Linked DNA regions of Lepisosteus oculatus. The protein of the gene in region 1 interacts with the protein of each later gene in a pairwise test. Links are inferred from orthologs where the notes say so. Each region holds a gene or a part of one and is shown on either strand. Other genes may lie near its edges.

Evidence for each region.
Region 2: the proteins of hivep1 (region 1) and atxn1l interact in a two-hybrid assay, tested with the Homo sapiens proteins (2 studies listed by BioGRID). The link is inferred for Lepisosteus oculatus from reciprocal best matches to the Homo sapiens genes HIVEP1 and ATXN1L.

What each region holds. Positions count from the first base shown.
Region 1 is NC_090705.1:17,495,492-17,504,225, reverse strand, and holds the start of hivep1 (zinc finger protein 40), read left to right. Parts: upstream 1-5,210; 5' UTR 5,211-5,317; intron 5,318-8,501; 5' UTR 8,502-8,636; coding exon 8,637-8,676; intron 8,677-8,734.
Region 2 is NC_090715.1:9,892,324-9,900,014, forward strand, and holds the start of atxn1l (ataxin-1-like), read left to right. Parts: upstream 1-4,318; 5' UTR 4,319-4,465; intron 4,466-7,691. UniProt on the Homo sapiens protein: Chromatin-binding factor that repress Notch signaling in the absence of Notch intracellular domain by acting as a CBF1 corepressor. Binds to the HEY promoter and might assist, along with NCOR2, RBPJ-mediated repression.

The DNA.
Region 1 (8,734 bases):
CAAGCTCAACAATTCCCTTCTTAGCTCCTAAGCCCAAAGCTGCATTACAGACCATGCTGCAAAAATCTCAAAGCATACAGACACTAAGTTCCGGACACAGAATTAATACAAGTAGCCTCGTTTGTATTCATTAAATGGTTTCTGTTTAAGACTGCGGATTTCTAATTAGATGCCTAGTTCAGCTGAGCCTTTTCAATTTCATATTGCAAATAATCCCCTGAGAATGCCCTTTCTTTCCTTATCTCCAGTAACTCGCTCATTCGTGAAAGAATTATATTAAAGAACTACCATATATCAAATTAAACCAAGTCAGTGTTACAGTGTTAAGGCTGCTCTTAGGATGGAGAATTGTCCCTAATCACTGAATCTCTCCCCCATTTTCCACTTGTACCACAGTTAACAGAATCTTAATGTCCACACATTGGCTCATTGATATTAGTTATGCTTTTGTCTTGATGTCTATTTGCTTTTGTGGTTTAATTCTAAAAATGTAGAATTCTTTGGTCAGTTCTGTAATGTCTCAGATTCCAATGCAACTAATGATCCACATCTGGCTGTTCACATTATGTTATTAGAGATGACAAGCAAGTACCCTTCCTAGTAAACACAGATATCTATTACTCTTCAATCACATAATTGAACAACATCCTTATTAACTCACATGTTAATACATTCTGACCCATTTAATGTAATTCCATAAGCCACAGGTCATCAGACTTACTCCTGCAGATCTTCAGCCCAGCAGGGTTTGTGGGATACCCTTAAAATCCTTAGACTTCAGAAAAACAAGCAAAAAAGCCTTGAAATATTTTGTCTCTTATATCTGTTACTATTTAGCCTACGCAGTCTACCATCAAAAAAAGTAAAGTAATTATTCAGGAGTGAATGTTCAAACTTGTTCAAATATCTAAGTAGTTAAGTTACTAATGTCTGTGTTGACCTACGATATGTCATCATTTTTGTAACAAATATATTCAACAAATGTGTAATATGTGCACATTTGAGAGGTTTATTTAGAGTTTGATTGATTTTTTATTATTGCCATTTTTACTTATGTATACGAAATGAATGATACAGTAAGGGCACAGAAACTGACAGCTGAGTTTACCCGAATAGAATGTAAGATAATTTATCCTTTATTTATGGCAGAGCTACCCTACCTACAGATACATCTGTTTAATGCCAAAACCCTAACCAGCTTATAGCATAGAAGTCACTCAGTTACTGTACAGTATATACAAAAAACTAAAAAGATACATCAGATTTTAAAAAGGGACCTACAGTTATCTATCATGCCAAAGGCGTCCTGATATTTAGTATTATATTGTAATGTTATGCAAAGAAAATTATTTACAATTAATTTGATTTGTCCTAAAAAAAAACTTCTTCAACAGCATTGTTCAACACACATTAGAGAAATGGGTCTGTGCTTGTGGTGCACATAGGGTCTTAGATATAAAGTATAAAGTGTGCAGGGCCTATTAAATCTCTAAAACACAACATGAAAAACTGGATATTACTGTATATACTGAAATCTCTTATGCACTACCTCGATAAAGGACTTACAATATATACATACTGAAATCGCATCCCACACTATGAAAACATAAATGATATACTGAAATCACACCCTTAAAATTATATAAGCAATGGATTTTTAAAAATGTACTTTTTTCTTTAAGTCATCAGCAAAAACAATATGATTTTGAATCATGTTCAGAATGACCATGAACAGAATTTAAAAATCACCTATTGAATTACAGGTGGGAGAAACTACACAATACAGCAACATCGTGTAACAGAACAAAAAGATATTTATGGGATGGCCGGGTGTAGGCAGGATGGAGTTGCCTTGAGTGAGTAAGGGTGTCTTTGAATAGCAGATAACAGTGACCCCGGAGACTCATCAGGGCTCCTGTGAAGTCTACTGCACTGCCAGTCTTCCGCTGGGTACGTGTTTGCCTTGAGGGCTGTTAACCTCACAGTGCAGTGGGGGTCTTGAAAGTGGACCTTTAGCAGGAAACATACAGCCACCCTCCTCATCCCTGCTTTGCTGGAATGGGAAGTGAACCAAGCTGTCTGACAGTTAGATTCCCGGATGAGGCAAAACTAAATTTCAACTCTTGGGACAGCTGGATGACTCAAACTTTGGACCAAATTGATACAACTATCAAAAAGACACCGTCTTCTCTCTAATTGCATTGAAGTAAGTATACCCCAATATTCCTGCTACTACTATCACAATAGAAATGTAGTGGAAAATTGTCCCTTCTAGGATTACAGAAGCCCTTCCTGGCAGGAACAATCCTGACAGATTCTAAGATAAAAGTCTTAATTCCATGCTTCAGTCTGCAGCTGCTGAATGAGAACGGCCTTTCTTGGTAAGGTACTCTTTAGTAGAGTACTTGGTACTCTACTAAAAACACTTTGAAGACATTTCCATAGTTCCTCTTGCGCCTATGCCTTTTGCTAATATAGTATATATTTGTATAATTCTGGCCTGGTAGTTCCTAAAATTGTATTTAAAAGTTATTTAAAACAAGCCTGTTTCAAACATTCTCAACACAACAACACTCAGAACTAGAAATAAGTATGTTTATTGATTTTATTGAGCTCATTTTTTTCTTTCTTTTCCACTTAGGCACTGTGATATATTGTGTCTAGCACATATAATAAATACACAGCACTAATCAATTTGTAATAAATATATTGATATAATTTAATACATAAATATTTAGTTTTCTGTCTCTTATGTATGATGTGGTTATAGTTTAGCTGCTATAATACTATTTTATTAATGGCATGGTCTTATTAGTGAATTTGCTATGAAGAATGATAAAACCCAAAGACAGAGTGAAAATATTACAGCTATCATTAACAGGATCCTTCCATCTTGCTGGAATGTATCTTATAACAGATTCTCTATCTGACTAACACTTTTTTCTAGTGAAACTTATATTGGCACCAATGTCCTCAGTTATGTATTTTACCAGAACTATATCTTTATCTATATCGTATATATCGCTCAGCTTTAGATATTAGATTTGAATTGACAACGTAGCAGTTACAAGGCTAGAACCCTAACCACTGTTCGACTCTGTTGCCTATTTCCTTCTTCATTGTTTGTTTCTAACTGAAATGGTTTCACAATTCTGTTTTGAACATGAATATGCAAACCCATCAGGTGTTCTGTTTTTTATGTCTTAATAAATAAGCAACACAAGTGCCATCGTAACCACAGCTGAACATGCCTAAGGTGCCCGTGTGAGAGCAGTCACTCCGTGAGCAGTGGGGTGCTGTCAGTCTGCAGTGACACAAACATTTAGGAGCCTGTTAACATTTCCTCTGGAGTGACAGCATCTCTGCAGCACTGTGAAGAACTTGAAGGGTGATTCTGGTCAAGCTCAATACAGAAGATCACTGCGAGAATGCAGAGACAGTATAAGAAAAACACCAATATCACATTAATGATTTGCATTCCTACAGTAGTGTGCTGCATATACAGTAATGTTCCTACATTACGTCCTGTTCATTGTCAGCTAACAAGCGCATTGTTAAGTAACAGAAGGATTCCATGCAAATAAAACTATTTAAAATGGAACTCTAATTCTCACAAATGTCACCACTTGTATTTTGATCTGCTAAAAGTTCTTTAAACTGACAGAGCTAATAAAATGATAATTTTACAGAAAGCTTTGTACAGACCATACTGTATGTGAACAAAACACACCAAACGCACAGAAAAAGTATTATATTTTCAACCATCGTTTTCACGATAAAAACATTTTTGGACAATAACCCAAATATGAAGACAACTTCTGCACTGTTTTCTCCCATCGCCCGAAGACAGACTGATTACTGTAGGTTAATTGGTATCTCTGCGTTATTTCCGCGCACTTGTATGAGTGACTATTCACAAATTTAATTCAGATAAACGGCCCCACCCGCATTGAGATCTGTGAAGTTGCTCCCCTACAAACATCACTAACGATGACTCCCACCGCATGTAAGAATGTTAGGAGCAGCATCGCGGAGCTCTGACTTTGGGGTCTGGTTCTGGAAATCATATTTCTATTTTGCAACACGTATGATGTTTGCAAAGACAAAGTAATTGGTGACCGCAGATCTGTAACAACCTGTATTTTCAACAAATTTCTCCAAAAAACGTGCACATTCGCACGAAATGGAGTTCATTGTCATCATCAAGTCATAATATTAATGTTTATTATCTATAGCAAAATTAAGTTAGTAAAAAACTTTATATCATAATTGCATTTGATGGATTCGTTTTCATTAGATGAACGTAGCGTGCAAAGTGCATTTTTAATATTTACAGTATTACAGTGTTGATCATTTCAATGTTTAATAAAAATGTGCAGCATTATTCACAAGCGTAATATTTTAAAAATGTATCAGTCATTTAAACTTGGAAAATCCAAGACTGCATGAATCTCGTGAGAATTTGTAGAACAGTAAATACTGTGATTTATATAATTCTCGCAATGCTTTGTAACTCCGTATTTCATGTAAGACGAGAATCTTACTACCTTCCTCATTCATGAAAAAAACAGCCGATGTCGTAAAACCAATAAGAGCTTTGCAACCTGACGCTGTAAAATATCCAAGACAAAGCGTGATATCTGACAAACGGTCAAAATTAACAAAAAAAACAATCTTTGACCTTTGGTTTGGAGCGCACATTAATCTGCTGAATTCATTCTGGTGATCGGTGATGTGTTGTGCAACAGAAGGAAAATGGTTTCTATTTCAGAGGATATTTTTAATGAAAGCGAAGTGGAGCGTAACAACGTTGCACAGCAAAGGGTTGGATTAAGGGAGATCTGAATGGGAAAGCCCAGTCTGCAGTGAGGGACACAACGTGACCTGACAACAAGGAACCTCCGGGATAACCGTCAGTGCAAAACTATGTGCAAAAGGGATGCATCGAGGGGGGACGGCGGTACACGACACGCTAGGAAATTCAATAATTTGCGTTCTGAGAAGGCAAACAAAAAAAAATCCCTTGAGTCAAGATGTAACATGGCTTTCAAAAAGAAGGGAAGATGAGTTTAGCCAAAGAAGCGCGTCTAAACGCTGTTTCAATAAAGTTGTGGTGCGGCCGTCGCGGGCCCCCTCCTTTAGACTTTCTGCAGTTGAGAGGCGGTTACGGGACCCCCGATGACGTCAGTGGGCCTGCCTGTTTCCTGCAATAGAAAGTGAGAGAGGAGGTAAAGGGGAAAGCGGACCTTTCTCAATTTTACCGTAAAGGTTCGCCGTAAAACAAAACAAAGCCCCGAGATTCATAAAGCTCACGCTCGTAAGTATGAATCCTTAAGGTTTGTAAGCGTTGCCATTTTCGTTTAAAGAAACGCCGTGTTGCGATTCGGATGCGGGGGTGCAGTTTTGGATGCCCGTGCTGTTACAGCGACGCTGTACACAAGGTTCAAGTCGGGCGCAGACGCGCGTCGGGTTTTTTTTTCTGCTCTGCGAGAAATAACTATCGTGTTTTTGTAACCGTGGGCTAATAGGCATGGCACGATCCGAGACCTGAGCATGCTCTGCTCAGGGATGCCGTAGGTGGACAGGGGCCACGGCGGTAGTGTGCAGCCTAGCGCAGCGCACAGTCCGACAAGGTGCGTTGTTTTGGTGCCGAGACTCCCTGCAGCATTTCCTCCAGCGCACGGAGGGGGGGGGACTTCTGTCTTTAGCCTGTCACGCTGGGTAAACGGGGTGGGCTCAGGCAGAGTTTGGGTTTTTCATTCCGGATGGGGTGCGGGGCAGCCTTGTTGCTGCGAATTGGCGAGCCGTGTCGCGTTTGACGAACTGGGAAGCGCCTGTTCGTAGTCCCTGATACGGAGGGGTTTTCCCCGGCTCCTCCCCTTAACCGCTTTCCGTGCGCGCCTGGTGACATGCACGGAGGACGTCTGCGCTGTGCCCGGCTCTGCGCAGCTCTCCGGGCATGTGGTGGAGAGAGGCGGGGAGGGCAGACGCGTGTGCCCCGGTCATTCAGACACCACGCCAAAACAAGTCTAATTCAACATTAAAAAAAAGAACATTGGGCGACTGCTATGCCTCCATTGTCGCGCACTACCACCCCCCTCTCCGACTGCTGCAGGGGCAGGTGCGTCCTGCACAGCTGCCCCTGTGCCAAAACGGGCTCTGCCCGCCCCCATCGTAGCTCTAGGATTTGGGGGGGGAGGAATGTGGAAATTGCACACAGCGCCGACAAACCGACAAAGGAAGCGCCTCTCTTTCATGTCTTTTCAAAAATACAAATACATTTTTGTGTGTGTGTTTTATATCGGTATGTTAAACAGCTGAAAGGAAAATGCCTCATCACTCCAGTCATGTCCATTGCCATAATGGGCTTCCCTTGTTATTGTTATTTTAGCAGCGGTAGTAGTAGCATCTGCTGTATTAATTCAGTGGGATTATTTTCTAACTGTAGGAGATGCTTTTGCACAAAAAAAACTGAATCAGTGTGAATCAGAATTATTAACGGTTTGCGCAAGTTTAATAACCTCTCTTCCCATGCTTTGTTGCTTCAACATTTCTCATTTGGCGTGTGTATTTCGAAAATCATTTAATGTGTTTCTTGCCCTTTATAATTATGAATAAGATATCCGATCACTCCATTTTTCGCTTTGGTGGTTCTGTCAGCGTTCACTCAACATTCAGCTATTTCAATTCGGTTATCAATATTTGCTTTAAAATGAAAGCATTGCAATAAATCATTGCTTTAAAAATGAAAGCATTTCCCAAATGGCCATTTGTTTTATCTTCCGGTACAATTTTAGTTTACACGGGTAATTTTAGATGGGATGTAATTTTCCATTAAAAACAGTTGCATCTGCTTGTGTTGTTTAGACTTCAACGTTTTCTGTAAAACCCCTGGCCTTCCAGCAGCGCTGTTTCCCTAGTGAAATGATGTCATTGCTGCGGCTTACAAATATTAAAGCAAACAAAAAAAAATCGTCTCTCCTGTCTGCCATGTAAAATAAAATTATTTTCAGCTCGCGTTTTATGCATTGGTTTGTTCATGACTATTTTTAGTTTTCAGTTTTATTCGGCTCATTGTCATTCGAGGTTAATGTTCAGGGCTCATTCGAAAACTATTAGAGAGGTTGCAAGGAAGCTGGCACAGTTCAGTACTATTGTCTGATGTTTGTACATACGCTATAAATTGTATCTAAGGAGGGAATAAGAACGGCCGACAATTAAAAGGTTGGAGTTCAGATCCATTGTGTTGCAAAACTGAGTGTATTTTTAGGAGTGTACATTAGGCACAGTAGAAGGTCTGCAGCTTGTAGTAAATCCATCAGATTCCTTTAACTGCGGCATTAGTTTTGCAAAAGCTGCATGGGTTAGATTTACAGTATGTCACACACAGGGCGTGGTACTGTATTTGCAATTACTGTATAATGTACTGTAACCTGTACACCCACCCAGCCCCATCTGAAAAGAACTTTCCCTCATTCTCCCTGCATTCTGTGTAGCCTTGATGCAGTTACCCATCGTTGTTCTTTTAATATTTTATATGAGAGGGCCTGCTTGTATTACCTTTCCTGCCAAGAGATTTTCAGAGTACTACAGAACCTGTTTTTTTTTTCCGCTGAGTTGCTGAAGTGGGAACACAGGTCAAGACTGAGAGCTTATCTTTCAGACAGTTATAGTAAATGCCCTGTGTAAGTCCCTGCCTAAGTAACACTTATATAAACACTGGAGTTTCTTGGTTCATTAACTTTTTCGAGTCTAGACAAGGTCACTGTATTTAGCGGCGTTTACTCCAATGCAAATTAAGTCTGCATTGAACACTTCTTGTTTAAAGCTGCTGTAAGAAGTGTGTTCTTTCAGTTCTTTAGTTATTTTAGGAAGAGCAAACAGGTTTAGTCGACAGGCTTTAATTTAATTCACAGTAGGATCTTCTGTTTGACTGCAGCATTCAATAGATAATGGATTCAGTGGATCTTGGTCTCTGCTGCATGTGGCTGTGGATGAAAATTTGCACACATATATGCAAACAGTATGGGGACAGAATCATTATTTTCACATGGTGAAGTCACAGGCCCAACTCTGATTCACATGAAGCATTAGCTCTAGGCCCCATAAAATAAAACTGGTGCAGAAATGTTAATGTTCATGTTTTAAGTGGGAAGAAATAAGAAGACTAAGCTGTGTCTAGGGATTTCATTATTAGGGTTATTTTCTGTATGAAGAGAATAATGTCCTTATATTACTGGGTTCGCAATATGAACCAGCTTTTCACTGTGCAAGCCATTAAATCCATACATTAGGGATCTAAATGTCTTCATTTTTGAGTCACCTCAACTATAAAATGGACTATTTAACAATTTATTTGTTTCTGATCAATGCTGTATGCTTTTGTGCATTTGTACACTTTGGAAAGCACATGTGGCATGTTCTGGTGAAAAAGACCACTACAGGATGAGGGTGTTTCATCGATGAGGTGCTTATCGGATTGCTTCTTCTCTTCCCACCAGACAAGCCGACATTGACCCGACAGTGACCCGGGGCGGCGGGGGAGGTGGGAGCTAGGGGGCTTCACTCTTCCTCAGCCGAAAATTCGCAAGCAAGGCAATGACGCACCCATATCTGCGCCTGTGACCAGAGGAATCATGCCACGAACAAAACAGAATCATCCAAAAAACCTGAAGGGTAAGTGGGTGTCGTACACCTCCTGTACTTATTAAAGGGTCCATTGAATGTTTTCCAG
Region 2 (7,691 bases), on another chromosome or scaffold:
GAGTTGATCTGACAAAAAGGAAGTTCTACCACAAATTTTATCTGCTGACAGGAAAGTTTCAGAAGGTCGTCTTGTAGTCAAATTCGGTCACTAAGCTTATCTCTACCTCTATGAGGGTTTGAAACTAGAGCTCTCTCACTGTTAATATATCTGTTTTTACATACGGTGAGACATTTACTTTCTTTATTTGAATTTGTTTATAAAATTGAAGGTTTCTTGCCCAGACATTGCTAAATGAGTCCTTTAGCAATGTCAGTTATCAAAAGTAGGGGGTTTACAAATACAGCAGTAATGATATAGCAAATGTCGAGAAAAATCCTAAAGCTGCATTATATTTAGAATTATGCCAGAGATGTGGTTAATCAAACAATATAGAACAAGGGGAGAGGTGCAAGATGGAAATCCTTGACTGAACTGCGTTTCCCAAAGGTCTATGAAGAATGATCATCACCCCTGTTCAGGTGGGGGGGAAACGACTGGTACAAAGTCTGCGGTTGGGATCCTGCTGTCCTGTATCTCACTGAGGTTTCACAGGTCTCCTGGACATTGCTACTCTTGGCCACATCTGAACAGGGATACAGCTAATGAGAATAAAACAAAAGAAGACTTGTTTTAATCGTGTTAATGGAGACCAGGCGAATTTAGGTAGGTCAGTTCCAGAGCTGATGTTTCCTGGTCTGAAAGTGTGAGCTCACAGGCCATCAGGACATTCACGCTTGGAGTCAGAACGCAGTGCCATGATCTGGACAGTGGAAATACATGAAGATGGCAGAATGTGTTAAGGTAACTGGGCAGAAGACGTGCAGCCATCATTCTTTGTCTCTCACTGGAAAGGTGATCCTGAAGTGCAATTTCTTGTCTCTTTAGAAAGAGATCATACGGTCCTTTTAAGAGCCTTCTGACATACACAATTGCTCTGTAAACCTTCACAGTCATGCTGTATGCAGCAAAAAAACATCCAGCTGGAGGACCTTTAGCAATCAGCTGTTATCTAAGATAAGTCCATTAAGCAAACCAATCAGACGGCTTTTAATAGAGCGCTATTATTATATTGTCAAAAGGTGTACAACAAGGTCTTGGCAAGCGCTTTCTGCTGGTGTGGAAATGGGAACTGTGTTTGAGCTGTTACTGTGAACAGTTTTATATGTTAAAAAAATCCTTTAGAACTGTCTACCTGATTGAGAAACAGATGCTGCTGAGAGCTCCTCAATCTGAAAGAGGCAACATTTTAAAGTAAGTTCTGGCTGGAATATTCTGTGACTGACTTATATTATACAAGTGAAATCAAAATGTCTTCTGCTATTGGATTCACTTTCTCTAACGTCCTCCTGGAGGAGATTACAATGTCTGTATTAAAACAGACCAAGGACTTGAAAAAAAAAACCTCTATTTGATTTTGTTGCTGAAACCGGTACCGATAAATCTGTTCTGGAAGGTGTGGGACTACAAGCAGAACATCTAGGCAGAGGACTTCCCCTCTAAACAGAGGAAAGTGAAGAACCGTGCAGAGGCTATCCCACAGAGCTGCCTCCACTGCCCCTGGCCCCTGCTGTCCTGCAGTCTGGCTTCGAGCCCTGGTGACTCAGTGTGGCTGCAGAACTGAACACCCCCCTCTCCTTCACTATTAATTCTCCTCCATACTGAGTCTGCTAAACATCACACCTACCTGTGCCTCAAACAGATAAGTAAGGGATAAATGAGATGCACATACCAACAACAGTGAGCAAGATGATCTGTCGTTATCTCTTTTCTTACAACGTTTATGCAGATTTTGTTCTTCAAATTTAACGGTTCCAGAGAGAGGCTTAAGTAAATTAGCCTATTATTTTCTTCCTTCCTCTGAAACAGGTAGATATCTTTCATCAATTGGCACAGCAATTACTCATGAGATAAATAAATATTCCAATTGTGCCCTTCTTCATTTTACATATATTAATGTTCTAAAAGGAAAATGTTATGTCAGGTGTATGTACACTTTATTACATAGAAATGCAGTATGCAGTAGAATGCATTGACATACACATGAAGGCACAGCAAAATAAAAAAAAACAGCATTAGTATTTTTACACGCATAACATTGTAAAAAGGAGATAGTAAATATTGAGCATCAAAAGAAATGTGTTGCATTTATCATTTGTAAATGCAAGAAATACATAACAGTTATTGGGAAAAGTACTATCTTTTGCAGTAGCTCACTGATAGCGAGAAGTGACTTAGTTCTTCAATAAATCAAAGTTGCTCAAGTGTATCATAGTAGGTCATGTGTGGTCTTACGAATTATACCAAAAGTATTTAATCCATATATCCAAAATCGACATACTTTATTTAATGCAACCAGATTGATAGGTTTCTCTTGATTTTCTGCATATGCCATAGAGAGGCAGTTTATTCACAGATCAATTTAAACAGTTAATTATAAGTTAATTTAGAGTTCTTTCACTTGTTCATTTACAATAATTCTAGTGGGTAATGTCTTGTTCAAAAGGAGACCTAAATTAACATTGTTTCCCTAGGATATAATCCATATTTTAAAACTGCTTTAAAACACAAAAAGGAAATCATATTCTAAACTTTTCTAAACAGGAAATACTGATAACACTACAGAGCTTTTCTGTTGACAACATCTGTCTTCATTCTTCATCTTTGACTGGGTTAAACCATGACTATAAAAACAAAGAGCAAAGGCAAAGGGACTACAAAAAAAGCCAGAGAAACAACCCTGACCACTGCTAAACAAATCTGATAGTCCTTGATTCTCAAACAACGTCAGTGCAGAGAACCACCTGCGAATATAGCCTCACAATGAAGGGCATAATAAGCCTGGTGTTTGTATAGCTTTCACAGACTGTACAGTGTGTGCTGATCATATAATGCCACAGTTTGGAAGAAAAATCAAATAGACAAGAACCATGCTTACAATCTCTACAGATAAAGACAAATGTGGAATTTAGTAAGTGGCAGGATAATTACTGTGAGACTAAAGATTGACAACAGACACAAGGACAGAGTGAGAGAGGAACAGCACTATATACAATGCTGTCCCTCTTTCATAGTATCATGAGGCACCACATTACCTAACTGAACCAGACATACATACAGTATAATATTTCTGTCCACACTTGAGATTCTTCACCTTGCATTCGCCTGGGTGATTGAATATTAAATTAATGCATTCTTAACATCCATCATCATCGAGTTCAGGATCAATCATTGTGCTGTAAATAAGTGGCTGCCACGTGGCATAATAACATTATTTTGATGTAATGAATAGGAAACATTTTTTTTCATGTTATAGGAAAATAGGAAACAGTTTTTTTTTCGACTAGGGAAGAGGAAAAACATTTAGGTTGCAAGGACTGCTTGTTGATAGGGAAGATAGCTGGTCCCGTAGCTACCAGATACTTCGAGAAACGTGCACATCTTTCATGTTAATCCGCTTCAGTATACAGGCAAAGTAAAAAAACCCATTGTGTCTCAAAGAGGCTGGCAACTGGTAATTACTGTATTTAGGTCAGGGAAAGCCAGGCTGGTCACTGATTCTGATATATGAAACCAAGTAGTTCGCATTCGTCTAAATATAAATCATTTCAGTTACGAGCAGTTGGGGGGGATGCTTTGAGGATCTCAAACTTGGAGTTACCCATCCACGATTTAGGTCACCCGGTAAATTTAAAAATGTGTTGCGGTTACTAATGGAATATATTAGTCGGATCAGAGAGCCGTCGTCACGTAAGGAATTAGTACAGCCCTACTGTTGAAACTTTTTAAAATAGTTTTCACATAAAGAGAACAGTTATTTTGTGATTACCGTCACCGGTGCTGCAGAAGTAGCAGCACTACTTAAAAAATAAATACAATTTTACAAAGATTGTACAACGGCTCCCTCTTGCGGTACAAATGTGAAGTGATTGTCTAGCCAAAAGAAGATTCAATATCACATTTACTTCCTTGGATGAGTGTCATTGTCTCACAGGACGGTTACAAAATGAAATATTGAATGCCACTGCAACTAAAGAGATCCTGAGGATCTCGCAAAACTCTATGCATATGAGACACATAGCAGAAAAACCTGGAAGAATATGGAAACGCAGCAAATTGCTGATTAATTTCCATTACAACCATAATATAGAAATGATGTGTGGCAATGTCATGTTTCAGGAAAAAAAAACATTTTACTACGACAAACCTCTGACTGTTAGACCTCCAATCCGTAGGGGGAACTGGAGAACATCCTCGTCGAAATCTTCGTCTCGTTTCCCAATGCACTTTGTGCTTTAGCAGTGAGATCATTCAGGAAGCTGGAGTTTCGAGCGTGACGTCATCCCCAAGCGCCGCTGTGGTTTCGCCTGCTGGGTTGCATTGAGATGGGCAGAACTTGTCAACTCTGATTCGACCAGCATTTAAATTGAATTAACTGACAAACAGACAAAAACCAAGAGCTGGATGACCAGAATGAGATGTCGAGGTAAGAGCTGAGCCAAACTCTTTGACTAGAAATCTGTAGAAAAGAAGTCAAAGATTGTGAGCGAGAAAGACAAACAGAACTAAAAAACTACCGTGGATTGTTTTGCTCGGCCTTTCTATGTGATCGCCACCGCACTGTTTTAAGAAGTTTTTCATGGTACATGTTGTTCGGGCTAAGAAAATAATGTAAGCATTAAAAAAAATAACAGTTCCTTGACATATCAGTGTGCGGGAAAAATGAACGCTGTCAATTGTAACAGCGAGAACCAAGTCAACATTATTGTTGCGGTTTAGCGACCATGTTAACTAATTTTAAATTGTATTTTTTAATAATGAAAAGTGTATCTGCTTTTATCGTTGTTATTAGTAATAGACTAGGTACAATAACAGTAAAAACAGTTGTAGTGGTGGAACAGATGCATTGTCAAATTGATGAGTGTGTAATAGGGATGTCTGTGTGACTTCACTCAGGCTAGTTCATCGGGATTTGCACAAGTCTGTCTTTACCGGTAGTACTAGTGGTAGTAAAATGTGCGGTGAAGAGTCCGCCCTCTCCTTTATGCGTCTCGTTTCTGACCCTCATGCTATTCGTCATCGCCCGAGTCTCTGTCTGGGGAAGAACGATTCACAACATTTTTCTGTTAGTCATCAGAATCGGCAGCGAGCTCTCTGTCTTAGCGGTTTACGTGGGTGTAATCAGATTTCTAGTGAACAGTGAATATCACTTCATTCACTACTGTCAAAATCTCAGTGCGGCAGTGGGAAGATATGACTGGAAATCACTGATGAGCCCAAAACAAACGTATGGAAAAGCAGCTCGTGGCGAGCTTCTTGCTTCTGTGAATGTGCAAGAAATGTGACATAACTGAGTGAGTTTTAAGTCATTTTAGGTGCCAAGTAACTTTTTAAATAGTATTTGTCAGCGTGTCATGTTTGTAATTCTTTTGTGCAGTTAAAGCACAAAAGACTGCACAAAAAAAGTTTTTTGCACTAAGAAGTCCCTTACTGTTTAACGTCTGCACTACGTCATTTGTTAAAATCGGGATTTATAGATTATTTTTTTCAAATGGAATTGTAGGAAAGGTAAAATCCGTTAATTAATAATAAAATGTGCTCTGTGTCTACTCCTGACAACTTTTATAGGCTAACTGTTTAATGTATATAATAGTGGGAACACAAATTCAACATTTTAGTTCCTGTTTATCCCATAGGGTGAGAAAGTCACCTGGTGACATATAATAATTAAAGACAAACACCTCAAGAGCATGCTGGAATTTTTATCCTTGTATATACTGTATATACTGTCACTCCTTCCAGAAACAGTAGAAACAATATGCATTTCACATCGCTTAATATTCTGAAGTGATCCTTGAACATTTCTACAGTCAGCAGAAATGAATGTTATTGACCCACATACTGTACCTTGTAAATAGCTTTTTGAATATGGGTCTGTTTTAATGGCTGTGACAAATGGAGGAGAAATGGTACACAGGGACAATTCTGAAGTCTGAAAAGGACCAGTAAGTGAATTTAGAAAAACAATCAAAAAGGTTGTGAACTTGAATTATTTTGTGAGGGTTCGTCTTTTCTCTGCGCAATCTTACAGTCTGTCTGTTTGTGCGTACTGGTTTTCCACAAGGATGTATACTTTCCCCATTACTCTTTCTTGTACACCAATGGCAATACCTCAAGTGACTCTTCCATCAAACTAATCAAGCAGCGGAAGACACCATCCTTGTAGGTCTATTCACAAATGAATATCATAATATGATATTGGTATCATAGAGTAGTAACAAGCACACAAAGCTTAATACCTTCCATACAGTGAAAATGCTGGTTGCTTACTGGAAACATTCTCCAAAACCTCAGTCCCTAGTAATCAATGATGTGGCTATGGGTGTGATAGAGTTCTTTAGTTTTGGGGTATAATGATGTCTAATAACCTTACATGGGACACAGATATCTCCAGTATCACAAAGAAAGCACAGCAGCAAATGTACTTTTTGCCCAAACTGAAAAATTGGGGTCTCTCAGCCAATTGTAATACAGGTTTACAGAGCCATTATTGAGAGCATTCTGACTGCCTCTGTAGCTGTTTGGTTTGGCAATGCGTCTGTCCACTCATGAGGGGAACTGCAGACACACTGCGGCCTTTGGCTGTCAGATGCTCTCTACTGGAGATTCTAGAGCAAGAAAGCAGGCAGGAAAGACTGCTGATGACCCCACCCAGGTTAACCCCTGTTTCAGAAACGTCCCTCAGGAAGACACTACTAGTCTATTAAAACAAGAAACACCTGGTATTTGAACAGATTCTTTCATGGGGCTGCCTTTCTGGTTCACCAAAATTCCTAGTTGTGTGTGCTTTTAGTCATGTCTGTTGTCTTGTTTGTGTATGGCATACAGTATGTAGCATGTTTTTGATGCATCAAGAACACCAGAGGAAATTCCTTGTAAACTAAATATACTTGGCGAATAAAAGTGATTCTGATTCAGATGTGTATTCGTGGCCACAATCACTGCTCCATTGTATGTTACTATTTCTGTATATGTTCTATATTTTCTGTTCATTTTTTTTGAACAACTGATGTGATGTACTAAGGTTTGTTTCAAAAAGATTGAATTACCTGTTGATGTTGATTTAAAACTAAAAGCTTTTTTAAAAGCAAAGGTTGCTCCTTATGTCTGCATCATCCTGTCTAATCGTGGCTGTAGCCACTCTCCTCCAGCATCTTTCAGAGGAAACATCTAGGATAATAAGTAGGTATTATTACTTGACAACGTATTGCACACATTTGTCAAAGTCAGAGAGATTTGCACTGAATGAAATCATGATCATTTTCTGACTGTGGAGTCCTGAAAGGTCATTAGTTTGACTAATGTTCTTTCCATTACAATCTTAACCAGCCTTCCTGTAGGCCTTAAGAGTAGTATAGACTGTGAAGTGTCTTACAATCCTCTCTGTTGATTTTAATCTTATTTCTGTACTTTGGCGTGATAATTTCATAGTCCTACTTTATACTGAATAGGAAAGTAACAGAAGAGGCTATTCGGTTCATTGGCTTCTGATTTGCTGACGGATACGTACTACGTCTTAGTTTCCTTCAATCACTGTGTCCCTGTTTCCTGAGGCAGTATCTCAGCTTCCTGTCGAAACTTTTGAATTATTTTTAAATGTGATACGTGAAACATTTGGTGACAATCGGTGAGAAAATCTGTATTCTACTAAC